2 linked regions of the Oreochromis niloticus genome follow. The protein of the gene in region 2 purifies or fractionates together with the protein of the main gene of each other region. This does not show direct contact. Links are inferred from orthologs where the notes say so. Each region holds a gene or a part of one and is shown on either strand. Other genes may lie near its edges. The genes, in order: slc27a1a and pbxip1a.

Region 1 (16,354 bases), on a different chromosome or scaffold from region 2:
TGCTCCTCGGAAGAAGAGTGACAGAAAAGCTCATGTAAGCAGTTATTTACTGAAGTTGATGGCACAGATTAACATTTGATTGGCAGTGGTACTGCCACAAACTGTTCCTGAAGTTTCATTTTGAACACCTTTAAAATTTGACCATTTTGTTTGTTTGAAGATGATAAGCTGTTGTGAAGGACACAAGATGTGAAGTGAATAAAATCCTCCCGTTATAATGAAAGACATTTTTGATCACTTTTTGAATATTCTTCATTTTGTCATCATCAGGTTTCGAAGAAGGCCCAGGATACAAGAGAGTGTCAACTTTGAGGAGCTAGACAGTAATATATATATATGGGTGTGCATATATATTTATATCACCTGCCAGCTAAAAACTGCTGACATGTATATTTCAATTTTTGTACTGGATAAATATCTCTTAAGCAATCTTATAAACGTGGAGGGATGAGGACTTTGTGTACTTGTTGATTTCTGTAGAATTCCCCCGGTCATTTCTGAAGCGGAAATTGAGTAAATTGAAATATAACCACTACATGATGCTAGCACACCAGAAAAGAAGGCTGATGGTGTTGCTGATAAGACCACTAACAGTAACTTCACTCAGGAAACACATCTGGTGTCCCGTGTTTCAAATATTATAAACAGTGAAGGTTGAACGGGTTGACCAGGTTCGTTTTTTTTTCTTTTCTGTAATACAGTTGCAAAGAGCATTTATAATGTACAAATTAAGAAATATAAAAAATGTAGTATCCTCATTTTGAATGAGCGCTTCTATGATTTGTTTATATTATATTTTCACACCAATATATAATTTATGTAATATCTATCTATAGCTATAGATGCCAATATATAGACATGTATAATCTGTAACATGATTTTATGAAATAATATTGAATAAATGAAATCTGTGTTTGCAACAAACTTTTTCTCTTCTGTGTTGAAGGCGATTGCTTAAGTTTTTTTTTCTCAGTTCTTCTTAAATGTCTTCTATCTGCTCATCTAGACATTAACAAATTTCAAAAAGGAAATGTCTGTGTTCACAATGCATCACGTATCAACACACAAGGCAGTTATTACTGTTTCTGCAACGCTGGCTTCAGACTAAAATCTGGCTGATTTAAGTTGTCTAGGAATCTGGAACAATGGGAAGGTGAGGGCTAAGTATGACATAATGCAGCAAAATTTTTATCGTCTCTAGGCATTGTTATATAACAATATAATTAGATTGGTAATATTTAGAAAACTACTATAGGGGTTGATTACATTAAATTGTAGAAGCTTAATTTTCAGACAGCTGCATATGGTCAGAAAGAAAAGTACACACAAACTTGGAAGAGTTGGCCAGATTTGTAGTGAAATGGCTGGGAATGGACAGATGCAAGGGTATTGATGATTACACCCTAGTTCAATAAAAAGGATGTATGTTGTATCACAAGACACAATGAGACAGCTCATCAATTTGTTCATCTACACGGGGCATTTTGTAGAGGGTAGCAGCTGTGGCAGTTTGTCTTGAAACAACAAATGTAATCTCCACATTATGATGTTTTTCTCAAAATAGAATTACTACTTTAATCTCAAAATCCATCCATCCATTCTCCATCCATCCATCCATCCATCCATCCATCCATCCATCCATCCATCCATTCTCTTCCGCTTAATGATCAATAATATTTTTGTTCTTAATAATGCCCATTTCCACTGCAGAAATGGAACCATTTCGAGGCAGTAAGGATGCAAAAAAACTGAACTGGAGTTGTGAATTATCTGAAATAAATCTCTCAGGAGCTCAGAGACAGTAAGAAATCAGTGGACCTGAATGAAAAGGAAATACTAGGATAGAGTCTGCTGACCCTAAGATGGATGGATGTTGGGAAACTGTTCGTGTCGCGCTGGCTAATTTCTTTCTGATTAATTTGTTATGACTTTAATTAATAAATTAATAAATAGACAAAGGGCATTAGTAAAGGTGACTGGGTAGAAAAATAGGAATAATTATAATAATGTATTAATTTGTTTATTTATTTATTTGTTGAGTCGCTTGAATTAAAGCTGAGATTCTTTAGCTTAGCTTTAACTTGTTGCATTCTCATCTATTGAGAAACAGAAATAAATTATTTAAAATTGTGTCACGGACTAAATATTTTCTGACTCCCTCTCTTCTCCTGTGCCTGTAGAGATTACTGAATTTGACTGATGGCCTCTTGCCCAGAGCAGTCCTCAATTCTAAAATGAAAGTTTCACATGTTCTTGACTTAGTGGGAAACGCTCTGAGATTCATAGGACGCTTAACTACCACTTCAGAGATTAATATATCTTCTACTCACAAACGTTAAATAGAGGTAAATCAGTTGAATTTGTGACCATTCGATAAGTCGAATTCAGCCTTTGACTTTTATTGATACAATATTAAAAAATAAGCAATACATGTTCAGAAAAGTCTGTCTGGTTTCAGAGGTGGACCTGCTTGTACATAAGGGGCCTGTTATATCCAAAGGAAGCACGGCTTTATCAACTAAGCATGCTAATTTGGACATCCAGATGGAGATAGCTGCTGGAGATCCTGCCTATTACCCTGGTAATCACATGCCAACAAATACTGCATTTCTAACCGATCTTATCGGATTGTAACCCACTCCAGTCACATTGTGCTTTTATTGCTACAGGCTTTACAGCAGTGTCCTTAATGAGCTACAGATAGCTTCTTTGATGGGATTAAATCACAAAAGAAAAACAGCTTTAAGATAAACTTCATATATAAGATTGTTTTTAGGCCCAAATGACGTTTCTTCAAAAAGAATGTGGAACAAAAAAAACTGTTAAACTTGATTGCTTGTGAAAAAATAATATCATTTTTAATTTGGTGCCAAGAACACATTGACACAAAAAAATGTGAGAGGGGGAAGAAAAGACTAAAAAAGTTATATAAAGATAAAAACTATTACAGCAGTTCTTCCCTTCAACACCTTAACACTTACAGTGCTTTTAAAAGAATTGTTGATGCAACACAGAGAATACACAATTTTGTGTGTGTGTGTGTGTGTGTGTGTGTGTGTGTGTGTGTGTGTGTCTGCGTGTGTCTGCGTGTGTTGCGTACAAAACGCCCCAACTTTCTTGGTAACATGACTTTACATATAACACAAAGCTTGTTACAACAATTTCCTTTCAATTTCATTTCTGTTTATTTATTTTTCAAAAGAAGCTTGAAGAGATTACACAGATAAAGCAGAGCTCCACACAGGGTAACATAATAATGCTTTTTGTGTCATCCACAATTTCTGACAGAAGGACTTTCTGACATCTCTTTAAATTAGTCAAAATTGTATTTTAATTATTTTCTGTTTTATATTTTTAGAAGCTTTAAACTGAATACATACATATTCTCTGTAATGTTTTTGGCCTTTGTGTATTGACAGTTCCAACTTCATTCATTTTATTTAATCTTGAAAATAAAAACAGTGGAAGGATAAAGAGATCTATTTTTCTTCAGTCGTTTAGCAGAAATAAAATGATGTAAATATGATCCTACACAGTTTTGTTAAAGAGCTCACAGAAAATAACTTCCACTTCCATTCAATGACATTTTCCATCTTTCCCCTTATGTTTCTTACATCTGAGGGTTCAACTTCAAAGACTGAAATAGTTATACTCAGAGAGGAAATGGGAGACTGTCTCCACTTCCTTCCTGTTTACGTAAGATCACAGATAACAACTCTGACGTCTACACATAGGTTTATGAATAATGCTGTTTAAGTTATCATTGCAAATTCCTTGTTTAGAAAATGTTTAAATACATGTCTAAAATACCTTTTCAATAATATTATTTATAATATGTGAGATACCTGTTAGGATGTTGTTTAGCATGTGATGGTGCATCTCCTAACTATCTAATTATCATCTCCTCTTTCAAACTCTTTTGATGATTTTTGCCTGGTGTATAAATGTTGGAATTGGAGGAAGAAAATGTTAGTAAGGACTAACTCTGGTTATATTTCAACATTTGGGCTGACACCCATTTTTTGAGCTCTACTCTGTTCCAAATGAATATCTGTTATGAGTAGATTAAAGGACATGTTCAGACGGGGAAGAATAGTATGCAGAGAAACCTGTCTGCAGATAGAGAAAGAGAAAGGTAGACCAGGCAGGAAGAGGAGCTTTCAGAGGACAAGAAAAAAAATTAGGGGAGGGGAATGAAAGTAAATAACCGTAGGCAACTGTGATCATACTGCGATTTGGTACATGAGGCGTCTGTGTTATCAAGAGGCACATTCATCTTCCTTCATTCCTTTTGAGTGTTCATCCAAAGCAGTCTGAAGGTAAGTTAATGGCAATTTACTACATAGAAATAATACCATATGTTTAGATACATTCCCCTCTACTAAAATAATTTAAGCAAAACCTGATTGTGGGGAGATCTTGGCAAGACATTTCTTTTTTACCTAAAAAAAAGAAATAAACAGGAGAAGGAAAGTCTTGATTAGGGATGGGTATCGTTTAGGTTTTATCCGATACCGGTGCCAAACCGGTACTTTTGAAACGGTGCTGGTGCTTAAACGGTGCTCAAACCGGTGCTTAAAGAATGGAGAACACAAAACCTCTCATGTTTAGCTGTTTTTTTGTAAAAAAAAAATAACAATGTAAGCCTTTTCTGCAGCTGTAGGGCATATATGGTATCACTCTTGGCTGGAAGCAGTGCTTAAACAATGGAAAAAACACAAAATTGGTCCAAAAACCTCTCATGTTTAACTGTTTTCCACTTTTTCTTTGGTCATTTTAGCCTTTTTGGCCAGGGTGAAGGGAGTATCTGCCACCAAACAAGAAGACAGCCGCATGTAGCTATGATGATGTTTGCTAGTTCACCTTACATGCATTAATGTAATAACGTGGTTAGCCTACTCAATGTGAATTATACACGAACAACATTAAGCTACTCACGCAGAGAAGAACGGCTGCTGCTGCCATCATCATTTCTACTACACTGGCAGGGCTAGGGGCCAGGACTCTACTCTTCGGGTTTTTGGGGGGTTGTTGCTAACTCCGGGTCCGATAACAGGCACCACACCCGCAGTAGATGTGCTCGGTGTGAGGTCTCGCAGCAAGCTAAACACGGCGCATTTCTCGGCTTTAAAAAAAAACGCTATGCGTCGCCAGGTGTTTCATCGGATTCGAGGTGTTACCTCCTTTGACAGTATCACAGTATCAGCTTAAAGCACTTGTTGCAGGCTGCTGAGTTTGCATACTTTGCTGCGAAGTACAGCCAGACTTTTGACCGCTTCGCCTTTTTTAATCTGTAGCTCTGCTCTAAAAGAACGTACGTACCTGAGCCCGCCTACTTTCCTCGGAAACGTAAAATGATTGGCTAGAATTGGCTCAAGAAAAAAAAAAGAGCACCGAAATAAAGCACCGAAATGTGCGCTGCTTTTCGGTCTGGTTACTACCGTTTATGTCAGAACCGGTGCCATCATGGCACCGGACACCGGTACCCATCCCTAGTCTTGATTGTTTTTAAGAACTATATCCAGTCATAGTTAGATGACAACCTTCTTTGGTCACTAGTGACACTTTCCTATTACTGAGTATTACCCTTGAATTCCTCTGTAATTATCTCAGACTTACTGAAATAACTGATTAGCAGACCAGAGGAGATTATTCATATTCATTAAAGCTCTAGTTGATGTTTCTCTATTATCTAAGGCCTATAACATCAAAAGCTTAAGTGCAGTTTAACTGGAGTTTTCCCCACTATCCTTTACCGTGTTGCTTCAGTTCATTTATGCACAGCTCTCTTAGATGAGTTGAGGTCTGGGGCATTGCAGCACTCTGTTTTGTTTACTTTTCAGCCGTTCTGTTATAGATTTGCTCGTGTACTTCAACCAAGCCTGTTGCATGACCCTATCTGAGTCACGTTTTAAGCATTATTAGTCTACATCATTCATTAGGAATAAAAGTAGGGTTTTATCTACTGCTTTCCATTGTTGCCAGGGAATAGATGCTCTTCTAAATGCTCTTTAAATCCCATGTGTCAGAAACATACCACTTATTATTACTTTGAGCTGCCCAGTAAAGCATGTATCTACTGAGTTTTTGTTTGTTTGTTCTCTGATGTGTTGTTGTCTATGATTTACTTGAGATATCTAGATGCCAAAACAGGTTGACGTTAGCTAAAAAATTGTAGACTTTAACTAATGCATGTTCTTTTAAACTTTTTCATAATTTTTTTTGTAGGTATCAATGGACATGATGACAACTTGCCAGCTGAATCAGACATGTGGCCAGCCGAATAGTAGCGTCCCACCTCCCATGAGCAATTCAGGCTTAGCAATATCCTGCTTCACAATGTTATTTGGCACCATTTCCAACCTTGCTGCACTGGGCATCCTGGCCAAGTCTCGTGGTAGATTCTCCCGCCAGTCGAAAGCACCGTTCCTACTTCTAACAGTGGCTTTGCTTTTGGCTGACCTGGGAGGTCATGTGATCCTAGGTTCCTTTGCACTGTATCTCCACATGAATCATCAGTATACTATGAAACTATGTGATGTCTTTGGAACAAATATGGTGTTTTTTGGCCTGTGCCCCTTGCTGTTCGGTTGTGCTATGGCAGTGGAGCGCTGTGTGGCCATCACTAAGCCCTTTTGTCGTGTTACTATGATTACTGTGGCTCATGTGGTACGGGTGGTGTTATTCCTTTCCTCTCTTGCACTTGTTCTGGCAATTCTGCCTTTACTCAAAGTGGGGACTTATACTATCCAATATCCATGCACCTGGTGTTTTTTGAGAGTTACTTCTCCATGTTTCGCAGCTGACACTTACCTGGCTTTGATTTTCTCATGTCTGGGCCTCACTGCGCTCACCCTTTCCCTGTTCAGCAACACAATGAGTGTTGCTGCATTGGTGCATGCCAGAATGAAGACCCCCAATGGTCAAACAAACCACACAACCCACTTTGGTCGTCGTGAATCATGCACATCATCTTCTTCGCTGTTTTTTTCATTGGATGTGGAGGTAATGGTGCAACTGGTAGTCATCACTGTTGTTTCCTGTGTCTGTTGGAGCCCCTTCCTTGTGAGTGCTGCTTTTGTTATTCTGAAGACTTTTTTTCTGGAATAATTTAGATATGATTTATTTTAATATTAGATCTGACTAATAAAAAGGGACAAAGAATAAATAACACATCATAATTGTTTTCTCTCATTTTTCTCCTACATTGTAGATCCAAATTCTTCTGATGCAGCTCAAGCAAAGCCCTAGTACATCAGCTCAAAAGCTCATCTATGTGGCTTTACGTATAGCCTCCTGGAATCAGATCTTAGACCCCTGGGTTTACATCTTACTGAGGAAGACAGTGCTCTTCAGAGTTTGTGGACAGAGATGGACCCTGACAAGAACATAGTTCCACTGTTTGCATTAACTATATTAATCATGGACTTTTTGTATAGAGCACATAGATACTTTCTATTTATATACAAACCAATAGCTTATTTACAGAAGCAGTTAGTGAATAAGAGATGGGGGAGGACTTGAACTACATTTCACAACATTTAGTAGTCTGTACCGGTTCTGTCATCAATAGCAGCTACTTGCAGATTGGCCAATGGGGCGGTGTTAGTTTTGACCAATCAAAATTGAGAAAAGCTTGACAAGCAGCGAGTTTAACAAATAGCGGACCTGCAGGAGGAGGTTAACGCCCGTGGTGGGTGGTGCTTCTGTGCCAGCGACTCTATTCAATATGGAGTACAGAAAATAGCCACATTCAGCTGGAGTTTAACTGTTCTCATTCACATTTGTGCCACTCGGGCACAAATTATACTCGCAGGCTCGTAGAGGACACGTGACTGGACTCGCTAACGTATGTTTGACATATTTATAAATGTACTTTGAATAAACTAATAAATACTTGAGCACAACTGCGCTGTAAGAAGTAAAAGTGTGGTAAGACTTGGAAAAAAAAATAATACGGATTTTCCTGAAAACGCTTCATTGCGGACTTTCTCGACGCTCCCAACAAACAACTGCAGGACGATTTGAAATACCGCTGGTTTTCTAAATAATAAGGCGGGCCGACCGGCGAGGTTATCGGGTGAAAGGTGACAGTGCTTCTGTCTAATTGACCTGTAGGTAAGTTATGCGTTTAAAGTTTGTGCGTAAACAGTGGTTCATGGTTTAAATGCCGCTTGTTCACATACGATGCTTAAATTTGAGCCGAATTTCATGTAAAAACGTAAATTCCGTTCAGTGGCGTAATGCGATGTGTTAGTTACAACCTGTAAAAGTTTCTCGTGTGTACTGACCCGCAACTGTAGTACTTTAAGCCTCCAGAGTGGAACTGATGTAGGCTTTAGCTTAAGCCAGTTCTTTCTGCTAAAAGCTTCGTCTTTCTCCTTTTCATACTGTGACAAGAATGCACAATGCAGCGAGTGTTTCAGCCTCTCTGGGGTCCGTGGGACTGTGTCGGCTCTTCGGGGTGTCCTGGCCCTGGAGTCTGGCAGCAGGTCTTGGGGTTTATCTAGGCACAACCAGCTGGAAATACTTCTACATTGCAGCACGCACGGCCAAGAGAGACCTCACGTAAGTTAACGGCATCTACATGAAGCTGTGACTCATATGCGTGTTTATCTGTATACATCTTTGTGCTTACACCTGATTTTTCCTGTCACGCTCCCCAGTGGCTTGTATGTGCTCATGAGAGTGAAGATGGCCTTATGGCGCTACATGCGCCATGGAAGCAATATTCCTTCCATTTTCGCCCAGACAGTGAAACTCCACCCGAATAAACCAGCTCTCATCTATGAGGCCACAGGAGAAATGTGGACCTTCACCCAGCTGGATGAGATATCAAATGGAGTCGCCCATTGGGCGAGAGGTCAAGGATGGGTCTCCGGAGATGTTGTGGCCCTTTTCATGGAGAGTAGACCATTACAGGTGGCCCTTTGGCTGGGTTTGGCCAAAGTTGGAGTGGAAGCTGCACTCATCAACTTTAGTCTCCGCTGTGATCCTCTTCTGCACTGTATTGGGGTATCAGAGTCACGGGCGATTGTGTTCGGAGCTGAGCTGGCTGATGGTAAGAATGTAGAGATGACGTAGAGAGAGCTGATCATGAAATAAGTATTTGTTTTAATTTTGTATAAATGGAGCTGTTTGTATAAATATGTGCTGCAGTATTATACTGTCAGCAAGGGACATGTGTTATGTTTGCACCCACAATACAACTAGTCTCAGCTACAGATTCCTTGCTTGATATCTGTAACGGTATAGTAGATGGTCATCTTAGGTGGTGTCTCGTTGTTAACACTCAGTTTGTATTAGAATATGTTATTAATTCCTAAGGAAATTATGTGGTTACAGTTGCTCCAAGACAATAAGAACAGTAACAGACTGAACTAAATTAAATAATCTAAAATATTACAAAGTTACAAAGTATAAGAAATAGCTCAATTATAAATATCCAGAATATTACAGAGATTAAATATATGAGTGACACTGTACTCTAAACTTTAAACTGTAAAACTTTATTTTGTTATTGTCACTGTAGAGCATATGCAAATATTAAGGCTTTAACTATTGCACTGTGTACTGTGTATTAGATGGAGAAATTGTATAGAGCGAGAGCCTCAGGCAGGAATGATTTCCTGTGTCGTTCAGTGGTGCATTTAGGTAATCTCGGTCTCTCACTGAACGTGCTCCTGTGACTGGGCACTCATGGAGTGGGTGGAGGGTATTGTCCAGAATTGTCCTTATCTTGGACAACATCCGCCTCTCTGACAACAGCCTAAGGGAGTCCAGCTCCGTCACAGCAATATTGGCAGTATCAGTTTATTGACTCTGTTGGCATCTGCGACCCTCAGCCTGCTGTAAAACAAACAATAATAATGACAGGGCCTATGAAATGTAAGACGTGTTGGACCTGTTGTTGGCCTCCACGCTGCCAATGAAATTCTTGGTGAAGCTAGTTAACGCAGTTTAAATACAACTTCTAAAAGCCAGAGACAATACCTGATATGAATTTGGCTGATCTCTCCTTCAGTTGTGCAACCTTGAACTCTTTAGTTTGTTTCCAGAGCTATTTTTAGATTGCTTAGTGGAAGTCCTATTCTGATCATTTACAAGTGCCGTGGATCCCATGAATCTCAAACTTGCACAGAGAGAAAACATCACCAACTGTGTCAAATTGGCAAATGTCGGGAATTTTTGGCTGTACCAACACAAGTATGTGATTAGATTCCCTGCAACTTTGTCCCCTTTACCAAAGTGGAATTCAAGTTAAAGGGCGAATGAGAATCCCAAAAGACCAAGTGGTTGAAACATAAGAGTTCAGAAGTGATCTAAAGATAGCAGATTGTGGTGAATTACTACCCAAGGTTATGACCTTGAAGAGCACCAGGTAAATTAAAATCATCTAATGGTGTTGGACAACTTTATGATCACACACATACAATCTAGATCAGGGGTCTCGAACTCCAGGCCTCAAGGGCCGGTGTCCTGCAGGTTTTAGATCTCACCCTGGGTCAACACACCTGAATCAAATGATTAGTTCATTACCAGGCCTCTGGAGAACTTCAAGAAATGTTGAGGAGGTCATTTAGTCATTTGAATCAGCTGTGTTGGATCAAGGACACATCTAAAACCTGCAGGATACCGGCCCTCGAGGCCTGGAGTTTGAGACCCCTGATCTAGAGAGTCTGAACTGAGCTGACCTGTATCCCATTTTTTTATATCTAACTATGTTTCTTCCTGAATGCCAGCTATATTGGACATCAGTTCCACCATGAGCCAGTCCGTGGTACGATTTTGTACAGGAGACCTCAGTGCAGAACAGTTAGCCTGTCTTGCTGCTCAACCTCTGGACCCTATTTTAGCTGCTGCACCTAAACATCCCCCTTCGCCTTGTGTTCCCCCTAAAGGAATGAATGGTGAGTATCTCACTAAACTCAGCTCTCACTCTGACACTTAATCTGTATGTTAATGAGTGACTCTATTTCAGATACCTTCTTAAACAATTTCCTTACAATGTGTGTAGCTGTTAACCTTTGGTTCTTGGTTGATTCTGAATTCCTAAAGTGTATGCGCCATAGTAATTCATTTTTCTCACACTGCTATTTCTAAACTAAAATTGCTTTCCAGTAATTATATATCTCAAGCCTGATAAGGAAAATACTTGGCTAATAATGTGAGTCATTTTATGACAGTTGCATTCATTTTTCTTAGACAGCTGTCTGGAGCAGATAAGAGTGACTTGCTTGCACTGTCCAGTCTGGATATTAATAAGCCATTTCCTAGCCCAGTGGTAAATCTGTCTTAGATGAATTAACATATAAGCCAGTATTAAAGGTGTGAGCTTCAGATATACCTTACATAACAGTTGAGATGAAATTGCCAAGGGAAATATTAAGCAAAGTAGAAACGATGTCTGCATTTTCAGTTCTTTAATGCGTTGGTTTCCAAAATGCCATCCCAGCAGTAAATGAAACACTATGTAATTTTGCAGGGTGCATTTTTATGCTATATTCTATTGTTTTGCAGACCGCCTATTTTATATTTACACCTCGGGGACCACAGGACTGCCCAAAGCTGCCATTGTGGTTCACAGTCGGTATGTTTTCTTGAAGAACCACTACCAAAAGAAAAAAAAAATCACCTTTCTTCAAAGTTAATACATTTAATGTTTATCTGGGAATCTCTGTTTTCTTTGACAGCTATTACAGAATTGCTGCTTTTGGATATTTTGCCTTTCGCATGCGCTCTGATGACATTGTCTATGACTGCCTGCCTCTCTATCACTCAGCAGGTATGTGATGCTAGTCTACAGCTTTTAATGATTACAGTTTCACCTTCTAGGTTTAATCAAGCTTTCTTCTCTTTCCAGGAAACATTATTGGAGTTGGCCAGTGTCTGATCCACGGCCTCACTGTTGTAGTGAAGAAAAAATTCTCTGCCAGCCGCTTCTGGGAAGATTGTATTAAGTACAACTGTACCGTAAGCACCTATTGATTTCATTAGTATGGCATTTATAATAGTTTTTTGAAGTTATTCATAAACCATGAGGTTTTGAACAATAAGATTTATTTTTTTCCCCCTCGGCTTGTAGGTGGTGCAGTATATTGGGGAAATCTGCCGCTACCTCTTGTCTCAACCCGTGCGGCCAGCTGAGAAGCAACACAAAGTACGGCTTGCTGTGGGAAATGGATTGCGCCCCAGTGTTTGGGAAGCCTTCATGGAGCGTTTTGGGGTGGCGCAGATTGGCGAGTTCTATGGGGCCACTGAGTGCAACTGCAGCATTGCTAACATGGATGGCAAGGTCAGCAGCTACCATGTAACTTTACATGCATGTCCTCACTATTACAATGTTAATTGGATCAGAGTTTAGCAAATTCTGTCCTGCCAGGTGGGAGCCTGTGGATTCAACAGTCGTATTCTTCCCAATGTGTACCCCATCCGTCTGGTGAGGGTTGATGAAGACACCATGGAACTTGTTCGGGACAGCCGTGGGTTCTGTGTGCCTTGCCGCCCTGGTACTGAACATCTATACAGCAGTTACAACTTTAAGGGTTGGGAGTCTTTGACCTATGCTGGTCTTCTTAGAGTGCTAAATTATAGTCCTCCATGCCTTGCAGGGGAACCAGGCCTTCTGGTAGGCCGCATCAACCAACAAGACCCATTAAGGCGTTTTGATGGCTATGCTAACCAGGATGCTACAAAGAAGAAGATCGCTCACAATGTCTTCAAGAAAAATGATTCTGCATATTTATCAGGTTGGGAATCATTTTTGTTTGATGCACCTATAAAGAAATTATTGTCTCATCTTTTCTAAACAAACATTCATGAAATCTACTGCAGTTCAGTCGGCTTGGCAGGAAATGGAGTAAGTTCAGTGTCTGTTGCATTTGAGATCATTCAGATCACCAGGAGTCATTTCTCCCTGTTGTTTGGCAAAATCAGCAAATCACCATATGATCAAGATGATAATGATGTCTTGCACAAAGTTTTGTTGTCAGAGTTTATATATAAACTTTTACTGTGACATCCTGCTTGCTACAGCTGATTTGTCTATGTAGTGGGAGCTTCACCCATTTTTCTGTCTGTCAATGTTTATGCTTGCATAGCTTGCGCATCACATTTTTAAAATTTGCTACATTAAACTTGTGTTTTTCAAGTGTTCAAGGGAATTGTTATTCAAACAAAACTTGGAAGTTTAAATAACTCATGTCAGTGATTAATAGCTGTAAAAACCACACAGGTACTTTGCTTTACCTCCACCCCAGGTGACGTGTTAGTGATGGATGAGCTGGGCTACATGTACTTCCGGGATCGCAGTGGGGACACCTTCCGCTGGCGAGGGGAAAACGTCTCCACCACTGAGGTGGAGGGTATACTAAGCAATCTTCTGGGTCAAACTGATGTTGCAGTGTATGGTGTGGCAGTGCCAGGTAATGGTTAATTTAATTAACTGCCTTTAGCATTGCATTTGGACTATGTAGTTCCCCCTTTTATTGTTTAGTGATTTTGAAAGAACTCAATAATACAACTATTTATTTCTATGCTTAACTCCAGGTGTGGAAGGTAAGGCAGGCATGGCTGCCATTGCAGATGCCACGGGGAGTTTTGACTGCAGCAATTTCTTGCAGAATATCCAACGAGTTCTTCCTCCGTATGCTCGCCCAGTGTTCCTGAGAATCTCCCCACATGTAGACACCACTGGTAAACTGCTCCTGTAGCCCTCTCTAGTTTTATGCTACCACTGATGACTATATATGAAAACAAATTATAATCTGTGTGTATCAATATTTCTGTATAGGTACATTTAAAATCCAGAAAACCAGGCTGCAGAGGGAGGGATTCGACCCACGACTCACGAATGACAAGATCTACTTTTTAAACACCAGAGGTGCACGTTACGAGGCCATGAATGAGGAGCTATACAATGCTATAGTCGAGGGAAGAATGTCTTTATGATCTGGAGGCTTTAGCAGGGCAGTCAGGGTGCCTTACTTAAACAGCTACTTTTCAGAGAATGACTAATATATGGATATAGGAGTGTGTGCATCACTCAGCCTTGATGCACCACAATCGCAGGGAAGAGCGTGAGGGGGCTTCCGACATGGAGAGAGTACTGTTACAGATGATGTTTAAACACTGTATAAGTAACACACCAGAACATGATGTGTGGGCATTTATTCCCTTTAATAGCATCTTTGTACATTTTCAGTAAAAACCTCACAAACTCTGAGCATCACCGCACATAGAGTGGAGTAAAAATCTTACATTAATGTGGGTAGGAAAAAGGGGTAGTCAGGTTAAACTTTTTACAGGGTATGTACCTGTTTATAAACTGTGCTGCAAGATTAATTCTGTATAGGTTTAAACAATAGTCTTGTGTTATTGCTGTGTGTATGAATGAGGCTAAGAGACCAGAGTTCAACATGCAGTGTATGTGGCTACTAGCTCGAACACTAACCCTCGAATCTTTGACATTTTTATTGCAATGGGAAACTAATCCCACTTGTCAAGTCTGAACTTCTGAGGACACTTGTTTACAAATATGCCAGCATTGCTGTATTATGTGCCTTTTATGAAACTAAGAAACTAAGATCTGTATTTAATGACTTTTTTTTTTTTTTTTTTATAAATATGACCAGAAGTGATATTTTCATCATACAATACTAGGTCACATATAGTAACTGTTATTGTGTAAAAAGTCTCATTAGTGTTGTAAAGCTTGGGAAGATATTCACAATCATGGATCTGTTGAAATTTTGTAACTAAAATGAAAGATTTTAAACTGTGTCTGTTTAAAGCAATTAATTAAAAACTCATTAAAGTTTACTTTAATATCCTACTGTAACCTGGATCATTATGAGGAGCCTCAGAGTTTACAGAACAATTTCATAATGTCTTCAAGTTGATTTACTGTTCGGTTGATAAGGATATCCGTGAGGGTAGAATTTTCAGTGGATGCTCTTTGCAAGCAGTGCAAAAGTAAGGAAAGGCTCTAGGCGTGACAACATCTGTGAAGGTGTAGAGAGGTGTTCTCTGTCTAGGGTCATAAAAGGTCACCTTGCCTCTGTCCATGTCTAAAACCACTCTTATCACATCCGGCTTCTTGGTCATGTTGAGCGGCTCCCATGGTGCTGTGCAGGCTTTATGCTCTCCATTGCGAAACCTTATAGTCCAGAATCCCTCTGCTGGTGTTAGAATGTGTTTACCCTTCCTGTTGATTGACTCACTGGCTACCCCCACCACCCAGTAGGTGTTGTCATTCACCTCTACATCCCAACTATGGCGTCCAGAGGAATAGCCCTCAGCGGCCAGCATCTCAGCACTGACGTCAAAACGTTCTGGGTTGTCTGGGAGCTTGAAAATCTGGGTTGAGTTCTGCACAACTGTGAGATCCTCAGAGATGATGAAGCAGCTAGCTGCTGTGTTCGGATCCAGAATCACAGGAGCTTGGGGAAATAAGTTAGAAGTTGGTGCTGTGATAAACATAAAAGCATGACAGTAAAACTGGCAAACAAATTCTGTGTGTGAAACTCACTGTATTTGACTATCCTCTTCATCTTCTCCCACACTTTATATTTCAGAGAGCCCAAGTGTTTGGCCACGTCAATCAGAGCACTAGATATCATTTGTGGATCCGGAGCACTTTGCCAGGTTCTGAAAAGATACTCGAGCAGTTAATTTGTGAATATTGTCAATAAGCTGAAGTGGATGTGGTAGCACTTACCTCCTTATTGTTTCCTTGTATTTCTGAAAGTAAAAATAAAGAGGATCATTTCTCAAACGATACTTTTAAATATATAAAAACATTACAGTCAGCTTGTTGTTCTAATTGATCTGGTCTACCTTAAGAAATGGGATATCTTGAGTTGACATCTCCTGTTCAACTAATTTGATGGTATTGGAAAGAGATGCCATTTCATCGTTGATCTCTTCAATCGTCTGGTTAATCATTAAGTTCTTCTGATCCTCCTCAGCCTTTAAATCAGAAAGTCTGGCAGCCTCCTGCTCTTTAAGGAAACGGTGAAGGGCTTCAAATTCCTCTTTGATCTGTGTTTCAGTCTGTTCAGCTTGGTTCTGGAAAGACACATGATTGATGAGTAATCATTGCTTCCGCACCTTGGCTCTTTTTGAAGTCCAAAGCAACATTTGGGACTGATGGAACTGACAGTACCTTGGCATGTTCTGCCATTTCCTCACAGACCATTTTTGTCTTCTTGTACAGCTGTAATTTCTCTTTCAAAGGTAAGAGTGCACTCTTTAGTTCCTCCTTTAAAAAAAAAAAAGACAGGCCATCAACTCTTTAAAACAAGGTCACTGGCAGGTGGCCAAGCTGCCAGCACAATGTGGGGCTTTCAGCTGC
Region 2 (15,778 bases):
TGAAATTCTGAACATAGTAAAGATTTTGATTCACCTGCAGTATCCATCTGGAAATGTCTAATTTGAAACAACTTAATTTTAGTCATGAGAATGATCTCAAACATGCTACCAGTGAAGTAAAAGCATACCTGGATAGAAAAAACACAATGAAACACTATCAGCCATGGATTGGCCTCCCCAGAGCCTGGACCTCACCATTATTGAAGCAGTGTGGGAGAACAGAACAAAAGGCAGCCAACATCCAAAGAAGAGCTTTGGATGTCCTTGCGGAGTACTATTCCTGAAGACCACTTAAAGAAGAACGCTTGCCAAAGAGAGGCTATGGTGAAGAAGATGGTCATATCATATACTGACTTTCAGCCTCGTTAGCATGTTGTATTTTCATTTAATGTTAGTGCATATTTTAAGAAATCACTGCACTTATTTCCTATTTTTCTAGTAGAATATAAAGAAATGAAGACTTTTGCACAGTAATGTATATTTCTAACTGCGCACAGAAAGAGGAGACAGACGTTCACAAGACTCCAACAACAAATTTTTGCTCTGACTTCAGCCTCTGGTGTCCATTTCCCACAGTGAATAAGAAGACCGGTTCCCCAGAAATGAGAAACTTGTGTTGTTTAATTACATTTTCTTATTGCGCTAGTTTTCTTTTTTTGTTACATCTCTAATTTTATTTAAGCTTTTGTCCTGCTTGTTGAAAAAAGATATTTTATCTCTCATCTAAAAGAAGATAGTCAATTTAAGTTTTAGAAAATAAATTTTGCAGGATTCAGAGAATATATCATAGCAGGATCTTCCACACTCTTTGATTTACAACCTCTTAAAATGAGGTTACGTGCTTGAAGCTATTTGCATACCATGGCTTTACTGTGGATTTCCAATCACACTGTTTTTGCCATCACTGATAATTTCATGTGAAGATATTTTGAAAGAATCTATTTCTACTGAGGAAAAAAAAAAAATCAAAGAAAAGTAGAATACACAGCCGTGTGTGTCTGGCTGGATTTGGGAATACTGTGCGAGTGCCTTTACATTTACTGAAACGCTTATGTAGGATAATCAAATACCTTCTTCATCGTCTCTCTCATCTTGCCTCACTGGCTCCGATGGCTTTGCGGGCTCATTTTTAACAGCCGCCTCCTCATCTGCCTCAGCTGAACCAACAGTCTCTGGTGCAGGACTTTCATCAGTAGGATGTTCTGTCACCAGGCTCTCGGGGACTGGGCTTTGTGACTCTGTGCTGTCTGGAACAAAGCTGATATCAGCTTCAACATGAGACGGGAGATCCGTGGCTGTAAGGGTCTCGGTGGGGATCTTAACCTCGGGTTCAGCACTGAAGACTTGACTCTCCCCAGGAGGACTCGCGGGAATCAGTCCAGCATCAGCAGGCTTCTGGAGCTCATGCTCTGCAGAGATCGGGATCTCAGTCATCTGAGGTGCAGAGCAGGACTCCTCGGACTCGACTGGGGGGACTTCAACAGCTGGAATATCCAGTGGAGCCCCCATGTCAATGTTGGTGACAAATGGCATGGCACCTAGGTGCTCATTGTCACTGGGAGAACTGGTTACAATGTCATGGATAACTGGAGGCTGACTCTCCAAATCCACATCTGGTGGGTCGAGAAGGCTGGGTGGGAGAGGGCTCATACGGGATGGACTAGAAGGGACAGGACCCTCACTGGACTCTGGAGAGGTCTCTTGACACACCTTATGACAAGGACAAAAATGTAACTGTCATTTTAATTAACCTTCAAATAACAGAGTGGTGGTTAAACTGTTAAATACTTCAGTGTTGACTGTTCCTGCACAAAATATTTTAAACATGTCTGCTAACGAGATGTTTGTTTAGAAATGTCATGAATGAATGAAAAAGAAACACCCTGTCTATGATGACTTCATTTGTTGCTCAAAGTGTTAACGAGTAACCGTTCACTTGCATGAATCTAAAAAGTAATTCTGTTTGTACAATTTGTTTATTAAACTTCTTTTTGCATAAAAATGATCACGAATATAACTTATGGCTGTTATTTTCCATTTTATTTTTTGATAAAGTTCTGCAACTTTTACATGTAATTGAGGTCATTTCCCTGCAAACAGCATCGTTTACAGTATTTCTCTTTCATTAAGTGATGCTGACCAGGATTACTTTGACAATTTTATTAACCCTTTAATTGATATTACATGAGCATGACAGTAAGACTGAAGCAGCTGTAAGTTTTTTTTAAGTCAACACGACATCTATCATTATGACATCTGTCATTTTCTGCTTTCAGTGTCTTGATGCAGGCAGGGATACAAAGTCATTATTAAAGATCAATTTTTTATGTGAGAATTTTGAGATTGCAAACTGTACTCTAGTCCTATTGTGTTTAACAGAATGATACATTATATTTTATAAATGTTGGTAGAAATAGTGAGTAATAGCTTTATGTAGATGAATAGAGATGAATCATTACTCTTATTCTACTTACAGGTTTTAAAATTAAAATGTTACATTTTTATTTATTAATTTTTCAGGCATCTGTAAAGTTCAGAAAAGAGCTTCGAGTGTTACTCCTAACAGGCTTTGAAGGGGTAAACATTTAAGATAGAAAGATGGTCATATGACTGTGGTTTTAAAATATGAGTGATGAAGTCATGCTACGTGTTCTTTACCAGGAAGAGAAGGTTAGATAACGCAGCTTAAGTTTTATGGTCAAACTGTGCAAAGTAAACAGTTAATTAGTCACTTCTAGACGTCTTCGGGCCTTCTTAATACATTAAACTCCTACTAATGTGCTGCTGGTGGAAGCTGATGAATGTTCATTTACATGTAAGTCGATCAAAGCTGTCAGCTGCATATTGGGGTAGATGCTGTGTGATTGTTGAGAGTATACAAAGCAACAGAAAGGTTGAGGAGTTAAGTCGTTGTTTAAATAGAGTATGGGCCAAATTCTGTGTGTAAATTTGCCCATGGATATTTTTGGTGCCCACTATAGACTGAAGCAGAAGAGAAAATTCACTGGTAGAAATATGAATAACACTGGATATTTATTTTTATTTTTATTGTGTAAATAGGAATTATTATAACCATCTGTTTCTTCAATTTGTTATGCTAATCAGATTTGTAGTGAAAGGTTATTACAGGTAACATTGTGATAACTATATAGCCAGCAGTTACTACTGGATTTTGGGTGGCAGTGCGTGTATGAATTATGTGCAGTCATATGAAAAAGACTACAGACAGATTACCTGTACTTACAGCAGAAACAGGTTCTACAGTTGTAGACCTGCTACATCAGAAGACCTGATTTAGGAGTTATTGAGACTCTGTACCAGTCCTTGGTAGTTTGAAGTCAAAAGAAACAAGCAGAGGTAAATATTTGAAGGAAATACTTACAAAAATAGTCAGAATACATGGAGTAGGCGTGAGTGTATAGTCCTGCTGGACTTATGCTCATGTTAGTGTGGAGGGCAATGGGAACGCAGACAAAATTGCAAAGTAAGAGTTGAAATTAGAGGCTAACATAATGAAAAGCTCTATTTGGAAATAGGGAGGCAAAGCTTAAGCTTTTTTAATATAATTCAGAGATCTTACATAAGCTTTATGAGACAGGGTGAGGACAAACGAGAAGAAGCTCTATTTCTCTTAAATGGAGGATTGGAAGATAAGATGCAGATAAAAAGATTTTAAAAATTCCTAAGGTTTAAGCTTGAAACTTTTTAGGTGAAATGTGACCATGTTATGAGAAGAAAGGCATGATATTTATTTATAGAGAGCTTGGGGTTTTAAATCATAGATCACTTCCAAAGACCTCCTCACACAAACAATTTGAATCCAGGAAGTGCTCCTACTTAAAATATTTTTGCAGATGTGTCCCCCCCCCCCCCTCTTAAATCTATCCTGATGTGCAAAAATACCCTGAGGTTACACACTGTGGTAAAGTAGGTGGAGCTGCACCTTCTGAGCAGCTACGAAACTCAGAAAAGAAGATGATATTCTGGCTTTCAGCTGTGATCTGTCAAACAGCAATACATTTGGCACAGTTGGTGATCTCAGTCTAAATATGATGTGATTGAATTTTTGTCTTCTTAATGAACTGCTGCGTAGTTACTAACCTGGTGGCCTTCTTCAGATAGTACAGTTTCTATGGGGATGCCAACTGGTTTGAACTCCACAGCAGCTCCTGAAATAACACCGACACAATGCAAAAACAAAGATGTAGAACACAAGAAAAAGTCACAGCTTTAGACACCAGGCAGATATGTTGACTTGTCAGTACCTGCCACCTCCTCGGAGAGACTGGGGACATCCCCCAGGCTCTCTGTGCCATCGTCCACGGGCCCGACATTCTCAATGGCAGCTTCCTGTTGAGTGAGAAGACCTAATGAGAACCGGCTGGTAAAAATTTACACCTGTAGCCATAACCTTGACATTTAGAGTAGCATTCACACTCACCAATGATTACAACTGGCACTGCTTACCAATTAATAATGAAGTCAGATTTTCCTGTAATGATCTTGAAATACTTGATAACAAAAGCTACAAATCACAGTCAAACTACTGTCTGATGAGCTTTTACACATTTTCCAACCCAAACTGACAAAACAATATCCATGCAGCTGTCGTGGGTTTTCTATCCTAACAAACGAGGCTGGGTAACAAGGCCAAGTCATGCTTGCACACTGAGCTGATACACAAAAAAAACTGTGAAGTTGAGTACTGCATGGGATACAAGTTGTTGGTATAAAAGCTGATGTAAAAGCCAGTTATATATAGTTCTGGAAGCAATTAAACAGTAATGACTTCAATAAAAAAATACATTTTACATTCAGTACTTCTGTTTTGAGTGCCACCTCTTAGCTGCTGTTAAACCTCAGTGTGGTCACTGTGAGTGGGAAGCCCGTTTCTGATATTTAATGATTAACAGAAATTTGTGGTTGAAACCACCGCAGCTTTTCTTTCATGACTCAAAAACCCTGCTCCTGCATATCACACCGACTGACTGCAGTTGCCTCTCTGCCACTGAGAATGACAACGTTTCCCAGGGAAGTGCAAGCACACGTGTGTCACTAAATCTGAGGTGCAACATACCAGAAAGACTCAGTTCAGTGTGACTACAATATTATCTTAGTTGGCACAGTGTATACTGGGATATTTGCGTTGCTATAAATACCTTGTGCTGGTCAGATAGCCAAGTGGCATAGAAAGCTATTCCACAGGGGTACATTATTGGATAAAGTATGAGAACTGCTAGAATAGTATAAATAAAACATAAATAAAAGGCAAAAGTGAAATAAATCCTATTTCCATCTGAACTGTGCACATTATCTGCCTGATGAGTCACAATTTGGCGCTCTGCAAACATTCACCAGGATGTCTCCCACTTTAAGCCGCTCTGGGCTGCAGGTTAGGACAAGACAAATTATAAATGAACCAGTATTCACGGAGCAGGATAATAATCATGGTGCTCCAAATGATACCCAGACTTTCCTTAGCTATGCTCATCTCGTCTTACCTCGGGGGAAAGGAGGGTCCAGCTGTTGGTGGAGGAGCCTGTGCTGCCTGTGCTGTTGCTGCTGTCAGACATCGCCCCCGTCAGGCTTAACTTGGCACAGCACACGGGACAGATTGAGCTTTAAAAATCCTGCATATGACGACAGAAACAACGTGTCTTCAGCGAGCACGCCTAATGCACACATGCGAGCCTCATTATCAACATGCAATAACCCGACTACAACGAGTTCAGGTGCATCAGGCGCAGTTGAGAACATTAAAAAAAATGCACAAACTCGATGAGCCGTGTGTGATTTTATGCAGCATTCGCATGCAATTTTGAAAACTACGGTAAAAGAGGGCAGAATCGCGCAGTTGTGGCACAGTTAAAACCTTGCAAACGCAAACGGGATAAAGAGCAGATTGTCGCTGATTCAAGTTATGTAACGGAGGCATCCATAATACACCGCTGCGCAGTGAAACAAAGGCTTCAGTCAGTGCAGAAAACAAGAATCTCCTGACTGCATTCATCGCTACTGCTATTTCCAGCCAGCCATTCATTCAGATCCATTCATCCAGTCAATCTGTGCAGCAGTTAAATGCCCAAAAATGGTCAAGCGCCCCCCCAAACTGCACGGGTACTTCATTGATCCAAGCGTGCAAATAAAGGTCAATACTCACTTATCGGCAACGCTAGCGCGCGCTAAAGTTCTGGTTTGCTCATATAAGAGGTAAATGCTGGGGGGCTGTGGTTGTTGTAGCAACCAAATTCAAGGTTCACTCATGATGGTAAACAAAGGATGGTTGGCTGAATATTCCCACTCCCACTCTTCCGCGTTCTCACTCAGGCCCAGCTGTTAAGCAGGCTGTCCCCGACACGAGCTCGGCTCCATCACCGCGAACGCGAAGAAGACGTTTATTTACCCCGCGTGCTCACACTTGAGTCGCTCGGCGTTTTCCACTTCAAAGCCCTTTGCTTTTGTTTTGTTTTGTTTTGTTTAGCACGAGCACAGCTCCTCTCCTCCTCTGAACTTGGGAACTTCGGGAATTCCAAGTAGCGTCACGTCGACCAACGTGTCTCACATCCAATGGGATTTCACCAAAGCCGCGGGAGCACCCGCCCCCGAATCAAGGCTGGACCAATCGGATAAAAGTGTCGCGTCAGGAAAGCGACGTGCATCCCAGCTTGATTGACGCACGCAGGTGAAAGTGGCAGGTGATGGTCGCGGCTCTTTCTCCTTGGTTTATAATAATACAAGTTCATGTGTGATCCCACAAGATACACACACATATATATATATATACACACACACACACACACACATATATATATATATATATATATATATACAGGAGCCACCAGTCGCTCACTGACACGTCTGCTGAACTATATTTGTACGGGACTTGCCAGAGTGGACAACCCCTTTCCCACTATTGCTCCAATGTGGGCATTCATTTCATCATCTCCTAACCCTTCTCCTCTAAAATTAGTCATTTAAGTGTTTTCTCTGGGATAAGCACTTTCCTTTTTACGCCTCTGTACTCCTAAAGCAAACAACAACATAAAAATGTCTTGTTGACAGCAGTGTGAAAGTTGATTTATTTTATTTGAGGTGTTGAAAGGTAAAGATTGGGCCTGCTCATGTTTACTGTGGTGGTCTATCCCCAGAGGTAAATGTACACATACAGTGGTGTGAAAAAGCATTTGCCCTCCTTCCTTCTTTTTTTTTTGTCACACTTACATGTTTCAGATCATCAAAAAATTAATATCAGAGAAAAATAACACTAGTAAATACAAAATGCTGTTTTTAAGGGATGATTTCAAATATTAAGGCAAAAAGTTATCCAAACCTACCTGGCCCTGTGTGATAAAGGAATTGCATTAATAACCAGTTATTAGGTTTAGGGAGCAATTCTTTATTTCACATAGGGCTGGGTTTGGATAGCTTTTTTCCCCTTAATATTTGAAGTCATCATTTAAATGCTGCATTTTTTATTTGTTCAGGTTATCTTTGTCTAATATTACAATTTGTTTGATGATTGGAAACATGTAAGTGTGACAAATAAGAGGGAAAAATCAGGAAATAGAGAAACACTTTTGCATAAAGATGGATCTCTTAGATTTTATTTATATTGTGCATACTGTAATGCATATTAGCAACAAAAGTAATCCCAGGACTCTTACATTGTAATGTAACAACCTCGCCTTACAATATTAAAGACAAAAAAACATTCATTTGTGCAAGCAAATGAGGACAGTGCATGGGGAGAGAAACCTTCATTACTAACAGGAAGAAATCTTGCACAGAACAAAGCTCGGGGAGGGTGGCCATCTGACAGTGGGGTGAGAAAAGAAGAGCACAAAGCTACTGCAAACAATATAACAATAAATACTCTGCAGGCTTGGGGGATAAGGGAACATTCATCTCAGGATGCAGAAAAACACAGAGAGGACAATGGACAAACTACGGGAAAGAGAGGGCACAAAGATAATAACGTGATGGTGGCATATATTAATAACTGGAAAGTGAAAGAGAGAAAAGCCGAGGATTGCTTAGTATAATGGGCAGCCAGGGTGTATAGCAGCATAAATAAGGGGTGGCTCAGGGTCACATGATCTGTCCCCGATGTGAGCTTGATTAAAAAGGAAAGTTTTAAGCCCCTAAGTAGGAGGGATTTAAGCCCAAGAATCCTCACAGAAGTACTGCAGGCCAAGCTAAAGTGAGCTAGAATAACTTGGTGGTCTCACGGTCTTTATAAGGGTTTCAGGGCAAAGGTCCGTTTAGAATTTATTTAGAAGTAAAAAGTTAAGAGATTCTAGATACACATGTAGGGTGTTTAAAATGCCCATAGGTGTGAAATGATAACATTAGACTATAAATTACAGGCTGGTTAACTAAAACTAATGCTGCTACATACATGAATAATCTCTGAGGTCTTTCTCTTTCTGGCAGCTCCATATTCAGTAACTTTGCCCAATATATCCACTATCCATCCTCTGATTATCTCCAAACCATCTCATCCTTGCCTCTCTAACCTTCATTCTCGATGCTATTCTTTCTTCACATATCAATCGTCTCCACCTGGACTTTCTTCACCTCTATCGTGCAAAGTCTATTGTTTTGGACGGTTGATCCCGAAATATGTAAAAGTCATCCATCTTTACTACCTGCAGACCTCCACCTCTCCAGGCTCTCTTCCACATGCTTCCAGCTATCACTACAGATCACAGTGTTATCTGTTTAATCATAAAAAAAATAAACTACTACTACTGCTACTACTACTACTACTAATAATAAAAAAATACGGAAGCTTGTATAAAATAAACTCTTATAAAAATAAAAACTAAGATACAATGAGAAAATGCATTCTGGAAACGAACTGAAGTGAAAACGGTTTGAAATGTTAAAAATTTAGAGCTAAAATAATAAGAAAAATAGACTGTTGCAGCACCTCGTTGACGTCACCTGTCTTTCAATTGAATAAAACAGTGTCAAAAACTATAATAGACTTAAAACTTTCTCACGATATCACCGCTAAAAACGATTATAAGCTCAGTCTGGGACTGGTTATGCAATCACACCAAAGCATGTCAGCACAGAACTGTGGTCGAACTTTGGACTGAAACTAGATGTTTGCTTTTTTGTTTTTTGTTTTTTTCCCAGATTTTTCCACCCTGATGACGAATTAGGAAATCAAAGAAGAAGTTACGTCAATGTCCTGCGACAGATAGACGTAACCAATAGCAGACGAGTTTTTCCGTCGTATTGACCAATAGGACGAGGCGAGGTCTATTTGAACGGTGAAAAGCGGGCTCGCACGCATTCGAGAGGGAAACAAAGAGAGAGCAAACAATTCGTCGCTGTCGGAAGCGAAATATCTGGAATAGTTGGCTTTTTTAAAACCTCTGGGAAAGTTTGTTAATTAGAAAAAACGAAACAAAAGGTAAGTTCTTAAACTTAACTATTCGTGTTGGGCATTGACAACAACGTATTTTGATTTTAAGACGATAAATACGCACGCATGTTTGTCTTAAAGTCTTGTCGACCTAGCTTGAACGGCTATAGCATAGCTACACTCATGTAGCCTTCCTTTGCTTCTTGCCTTTTTCTCTAATTGTGACCGTTGATGTTTCCCACAGGGTACCACCATGTCTCACAAACAGATCTACTACTCTGACAAATATGACGACGACAAATACGAGTACAGGTACGTAAGACATGCTTTTACGACATGCAGTTAAATTAAGTTTTATTAAGATGATTTTTTGCAGAAAATGTCTCCAACTCGTTACACGACACATCATGAGTATTTTTTTTAATGCCCAACACAGCTGCGTTGACAATGTAATACTACCTTTTCCCCCCCGCAGGCATGTAATGCTACCCAAAGAGCTTGCCAAGCGTGTTCCCAAAACCCATCTTATGTCGGAGACCGAGTGGAGAAACCTTGGTGTCCAACAGAGTCAAGGATGGGTGCATTACATGATTCACCAACCAGGTAATAACTGACAGCCCAGTTATGTCAGCGTCATGATTTTAAATATTGGTTTGGTAGTTTGTGCTTGCGGGTGGGTGTGTGGTGGTGTAGCTTGTTGATAATATTGAACTGAGACAAGTTGTAGTAGTTCATGGTGATCATTTTGCAGGAAAGGCCAACTCAAAATTAGACTAAAACCGCAGCTGATCACTTTCACTACTGTTTTTCTCACCCTGTGATATTACCTTTAACTAAATCTCTGAGAATGACCAGGTGGCAAAGTAGTGTATTGACCAATCGGTAGTCTAAAACAAGGAATTTTAATTTTACAGAAGAGAATAATTTAACATTTAAATAAACAAAGTAATTTAAAACTTAAGTTTTTGCATTTGAGGTGATGCAGATTAGAGGTCACTGCTACTGTATTTTGTGGCCCGGTGTGCCAGCCGGGCACGCCCTCTTGTTAATTAAGAGTTACAAGAGATGTGTTTGCCCCCCCAAAAACTCAAATTGCTGGTTTCCACAAGATAATGAGCCTTTCTTGTTGTTCCACCTCCAGAGCCGCACATCTTGCTGTTCCGACGCCCTCTGCCCAACCCAAAATCATAAAGGAGATTCTCTGGGTCCTTCAGGGACATCAGTCTACCATGTCGCAGATCAACTCATCACCATGCTCTAACTGCCATGTGGGCTGATTTTGCTGGACCTGGAGAAGGACTGCTGCATTTATGAACAGTGATTATGGAATGGATTGTGTTGAAGGAAAAAACTATGACCCACCTATTTGGGGAAAAGACTTCTGCATGTGTTAAGAGCAACACGACGTTTGCCAGAAACCTTCAATTCAGCTTAAACTGTCCTTTTTGACTTAACCTGTCCATCTTGTGAACATGCTTGGATTTTTCCAGCTTTTTAGAACAATTGCTGTAAGATGTGGGGAGTGAAACTTGATCAACCATTTGAGTTATTCTAAGTGCTTTCTGGGTCGAGCTCTAGCAGAATAGTTGGATCCTAAATTGAGTTGGACTTTGAAACCTTGATTTGTGGCTTCAAAGTCTCATGTTGCTGCTTGGTTAAAATGACACTGTAGACTGGCATTTAATGACATTTTGCCATATGCAGATGAGGGAAAGCCTGCATTTGAGTTGGATAGATGCTAATCTTGATCCAGTTTTCTCAAGCATGTATATTAGTTCTGGCTTAATGTCTGGGTCTATACCAATGAGCTGCTCAGTATTTATGAAACGTTTTGCCCTTTCTGAAATAAATGTAATCTTTTAAATCTTAGTGTGGACTTGTGTTTTGATAGTGGCGAAGTGGCTGGTTTACTGAAAATGCAGCATGAACCTGAATGTTGGTGGGGGGGAATCTTTACAACATGGAGTTTTGTGACATTTTCAGCTTGAGCAGAGTTGAATTCAATAAATCTATTTTGGTGCCAGTTTATGTGAGGAAACAAATCTGTATGAAGCACTTGATGGCTTTCCTTGAAATTCACAATTACTACAGGAAGAAGCAACAAGATATTTGGAACTCATAACTGTAAACCTACCAATTAACTGACTTTTGCACCATAGTATGCAAATCTTAATACTTGAACTCCATCAGATCCTGAAAAAACATCTCCATGAACAACTTATTGCATTGGTTGAAGCACTGAATGAGCGATGCATTTGATAAGGTTTTTACTGCAGAGGGAGTTTTGATGTTTCCCCAAAAGGCAAATAACCCATGCAAAATGATTGCAAAGAAACAGCAACTCTATCTTCTCCAAATATGTATATAATGTCGGTGACTTCCAGCTGACATCCACCTACACATCAACTGCAGGCTGATCAATCACACTTAATGTTGTGGAAGTTATCCCCCAGAGGCCCATTCTGAACCAGGTTAGCCTCTATAATCCTGATAAATTGACATGGTTCTGCTGTGTGGGCTAAAATAATCAGATAACATACTGATGCCTGTAGCATTAAAATTTCTTATTCATGATGCATATTACCTTGCCAATATTTGGTCTCATCTATAGTTAGTAGCAGTCATTACGCAAGGTGTGTGTGCGTGGGGTTTTTTTTTTTTTTTTTTTTTTTTTTTTAATGACATCTTTTCAGTTTGTATAGTTTGTCCCCTCCCCCCCCTTAAGCTTTGGACCCAAGACTGTGACTTAACATGCTGCTCAAATAAGTGCGAATTATAGCCGCTTTCAAATTGGCACATGTACAAAAGAAGCTTGCCCTTATTGCCTTACCTGTTGTACTGTAATGTGGCAAGCCCCACTAGATTAAAGTGTGATCTCACAAAATACACTTGTGTGCCAGACAGCTGACTTGTGACATTATGGTGCACAGTTGGTGTTCTTCCAGTGGCAGTCACACTGCATCTGTTGTCTGACACTGTGACTAGACTCTCATTTTTCTTATTAGTTGCTTATAAACCACCACCAGTTCCTGCCGTTTAATGTGCAGCATGTGTCTCATCTACGAGTAGCTTTCTCTGGGAGTGTTTTCCTGAACGTGCATGTTGTTACGATGGCGTACTTACATAAAGGGAGAGACGGGCACAATGTTTGCCACACATTTAGCAGTTATGCTCTGTGTAAAAGGTTAATGGATTATTGTTGTACTGGGGGTTTTAACCACAGGGATCAAAACCAGAAATGAGGCTGAATAATTCAGAGGACTTGTTTTGCGAGTTATTTATGAACCAAGTTTAGCTGCTTGAATTTTGAGACAAAAAAGCCTTGATAGGGCGAATGGTGTAAGACTTGCTTCACTAGAGCAAGAATTTTGTAGCTTCAAGATCTGAAGAGAGGCTTAAACCTGCATTGTTCCCAATGGCCTGCAGGGTTTTAAAAAAAATGTGAGAATGTAATAAAATTAATGAGGTGATGTCCCTTTGTTTTATTGATCTGTGACCTCAGTAAACACTTTCCTGAAATGTTTGTGGCGTAAATTGGTAGTTTAAAGTCTTATTTAATACAACATGGCGTTCATTTTATAAATTATGGCACCTGTTAGGGTCAAAAGGAAAATTGTGCTGCGTTCAGAAGTTGGATGTCAGTAGTAGCAGTGGGGAAAATGTAACAAGATAGAGCCTACTTGGTACTCTTTGTATGGTTTGGTGAGTCACAAATACATGATGGTGGAGGCACAGATTATATGTTCTACAGTTTTACTATTTTTTTTTATACACTCCTCCCCTCTTGGATAGGAAAGACGTGGTTGGTGTGGCTTCTCTGACTTTACGAGTAGGAAGTCGACTTGAAGGGACGTTCCAGCTCAAATTTGGGAAGTCAGGATGTCTGACTTTGTCTTTTAAATGGAACACATTTGAAATTGAAAGAATGGTATACTTTGCTACGTGACTAAAAAGTCACTAGCCCATGACAGTGGAGTATCCTTGAGTTTCTCTGCCCCTCATTTGTCATGTCCTGGTTTCAAAACAAGCAGACGGCAACAGCAAAAATACTGAGTTTGACACTTGACAGCAGAATTTTAATAGGTCCATTTGTCAAATAGCCTAACAAGTATTTTTTTTTGTCTCCCTTAATCTGATTATTTTTTGATCATTTGATCTCTAAAGTGTCAGATTCTGAGAAACTATAAACAGACTTTCAAAGACTAATCCTATAATGATGCTATCAAGAAACTGGAGAAATTTTAGCTTGCTTACTGCATCGCTGACTTAAAAAAAGTACATTTTTGTTTGACTAACAACTTTAGCTGTACTAACTCAGTAACAAACCTCAGGAGGGATGCTGCGTGAAGTTGAAAGAGGTCGCTAAGATAAAAGGTGAGAACACCTCAGTATCATGGAGGAAAGGTTAAAAATGAATTTTCCCTCTTTTATGTGAAAGAGTTCGGTTGAGTTTCCTACAACACTTGAGAGTATGTATGTCTATAAATCAGCAGTCCTGCAGTGTAATAAATCCTCAGATGGGTCAAGCAATAAAAAATGGTTAGGTTGTTTGAGTGTCAAACATGCAGCCTGAGGGCCTGGACCAACCAAAGGGTTCAATCTGGCCCACTGGATGGCTCAGAAAATGTCAGCATTGCAAAGGAGAAGTACCTAACAATGCAACAATATTCAGTTTTAGAGATTTCTCACTGACAAAGACATCTGGCATCCTATATGAAAATATGTAAGTAAATCACGGACTGAGCCAATGACAGATATTTACCACTAGTATTCTATTAAATTACACTTTTTCATATTTACCATAGAAATTGTTGGTCCATAACAACTATTTGTGTGTGTGTGTGTGTGTGTGTGTGTGTGAATTAACCGAACTTTTCAGGTTTTAATTCCAAGACAATGTCCAGGTGATTATTGTGGCAAACACTTGACGGTTGTTTTTAATATAGTACAGTGAGAAGAAATGCATCACACTTCATTTCTTTGTATTTTGCCAGGGGAAATGGGACATGAGATTTATTGAAACATGCAAACATACATGGAACTACAGTAAGGAATCTTCAGGAATACTTCTACAGGCTTCTGAGAGGACAATTAAAGCTCTTCCTTGGATATTGGCTGCCTTTTTTCTGCTCTCTGTCATGGTTATCCCACACTTCTTCAATAATGTTGAGCTCTTGGTTCTGGGAGGCCAGTCTATGACTGATAGTGTTCCAGTGTGTGTTTTTCTATCCAGGTGTGCCTTTACTACACTGGCTGTATCTTCGGAACCATTGTCATGCTGAAAAATGAAACTCCAGATAGCATTGCATGGTGGATACAAATCAGCACTTTTCTCTGTGCATAATGTTTTTGTCAATTTTAACAAGATCATGGACACTGCTGGAAGGAATGGAGCACTAAACCATGACAGAACCTCCATCATGTTCTAAAGATGCCCATAGACACTCACTGTTGTACCTCTCTCTTGACCTCTGCACATATTGAGAATGATTTTAACCAAAATTTGGATTTTGAATTCATCACTTCCTGAAACCTGCTTTTACTTATTCTCAGTTCATTTCTTATGTAATTTGGCATAGTTCAGCCAAACGTTTTCCCTAATTTCTTAAAGACATGACTTTCAGATACTATTCATCTCCTGTAGATTGTTTTGTAGGCCTGCCTCTTATCCTTTTTTCCTCCGCTTATCCGAAAGAAAGTTGCGTTTCACCAAAGTCTGGCTCATTGGAAGTAAAACGAGGGGTGACTCAAGACTTTTGGACAATACTGTAGGTTATTAGGCAACACTCTGATTCACTGGTGTGGTCCACTTAAGGTCAAATTGAGCTGCACAGGATAAAATATTGTGACACCCCTGGTTTTGGCAGTCAAAAATCGATCATTTCTGAGAACAAAGACATGTAAATAAAAGGTGTTTACCATCCGCACCAGATGTCTTAAGCTGAATGATTTTAGTCACAAAGTGATGGACTCATTCACAGAGAAACAAATGAAAAAGAACCCCCTCATCAAATACAGCATCGTGTCAAATGTTTCTGCAACCATCCACAAAATCATAGTTGCACACTTTGGACTGTGGGGGGCAGTGCAACACAGGTATAAGGCAGAGGGGCTCGTTTACATTAATTCAGCAGGTATCTTGCATATATTCTGCAATGAACACAGAAAATTAACACAAATGTCTGACTCAGTGTTATATTAGAATTAATCTGCATCTTATGTTTGCATGAATCACATTTTTAAAACCATATCTGAACTGTAGGCTTGTAGTGTCTCTGTGGTTAAAAGCAAACGTGTTAGTGTGCAGGTCCCCGATGCATGCAGACTAACAGTGGGTGAAAGCAGCTCATGGCAACAATCACACACTGTGGGTAGAAACTACACAACTTTGGAAGTCAGAGG

Evidence for each region.
Region 1: the proteins of pbxip1a (region 2) and slc27a1a purify together in Homo sapiens (co-immunoprecipitation; 3 studies listed by BioGRID and IntAct, with this or other methods). This does not show direct contact. The link is inferred for Oreochromis niloticus from reciprocal best matches to the Homo sapiens genes PBXIP1 and SLC27A1.

Annotation. Positions count from the first base shown.
Region 1 is NC_031969.2:23,177,573-23,193,926, forward strand, and holds slc27a1a (long-chain fatty acid transport protein 1a), read left to right. Parts: upstream 1-7,704; 5' UTR 7,705-7,849; exon of another isoform or gene 7,850-8,018; 5' UTR 8,019-8,118; intron 8,119-8,400; 5' UTR 8,401-8,401; coding exon 8,402-8,568; intron 8,569-8,666; coding exon 8,667-9,061; intron 9,062-10,742; coding exon 10,743-10,910; intron 10,911-11,520; coding exon 11,521-11,590; intron 11,591-11,693; coding exon 11,694-11,785; intron 11,786-11,863; coding exon 11,864-11,973; intron 11,974-12,085; coding exon 12,086-12,295; intron 12,296-12,382; coding exon 12,383-12,509; intron 12,510-12,611; coding exon 12,612-12,749; intron 12,750-13,259; coding exon 13,260-13,424; intron 13,425-13,548; coding exon 13,549-13,695; intron 13,696-13,792; coding exon 13,793-13,950; 3' UTR 13,951-14,831; downstream 14,832-16,354. Other genes in the region: CD97 antigen, read left to right, coding at 1-34, 271-312; ptger1c (prostaglandin E receptor 1c (subtype EP1)), read left to right, coding at 6,235-7,065, 7,214-7,393; trim35-13 (zinc-binding protein A33), read right to left, coding at 14,902-15,440, 15,530-15,648, 15,719-15,741, 15,838-16,068, 16,166-16,261. UniProt on the Homo sapiens protein: Mediates the import of long-chain fatty acids (LCFA) into the cell by facilitating their transport at the plasma membrane.
Region 2 is NC_031985.2:17,387,994-17,403,771, reverse strand, and holds the start of pbxip1a (pre-B-cell leukemia transcription factor-interacting protein 1), read right to left. Parts: upstream 6,633-15,778; 5' UTR 6,417-6,632; exon of another isoform or gene 6,161-6,416; intron 5,631-6,160; 5' UTR 5,574-5,630; coding exon 5,502-5,573; intron 4,351-5,501; coding exon 4,266-4,350; intron 4,170-4,265; coding exon 4,102-4,169; intron 1,711-4,101; coding exon 1,071-1,710; intron 1-1,070. Other genes in the region: cks1b (cyclin-dependent kinases regulatory subunit 1), read left to right, coding at 9,630-9,688, 9,852-9,979, 10,518-10,567. UniProt on the Homo sapiens protein: Regulator of pre-B-cell leukemia transcription factors (BPXs) function. Inhibits the binding of PBX1-HOX complex to DNA and blocks the transcriptional activity of E2A-PBX1.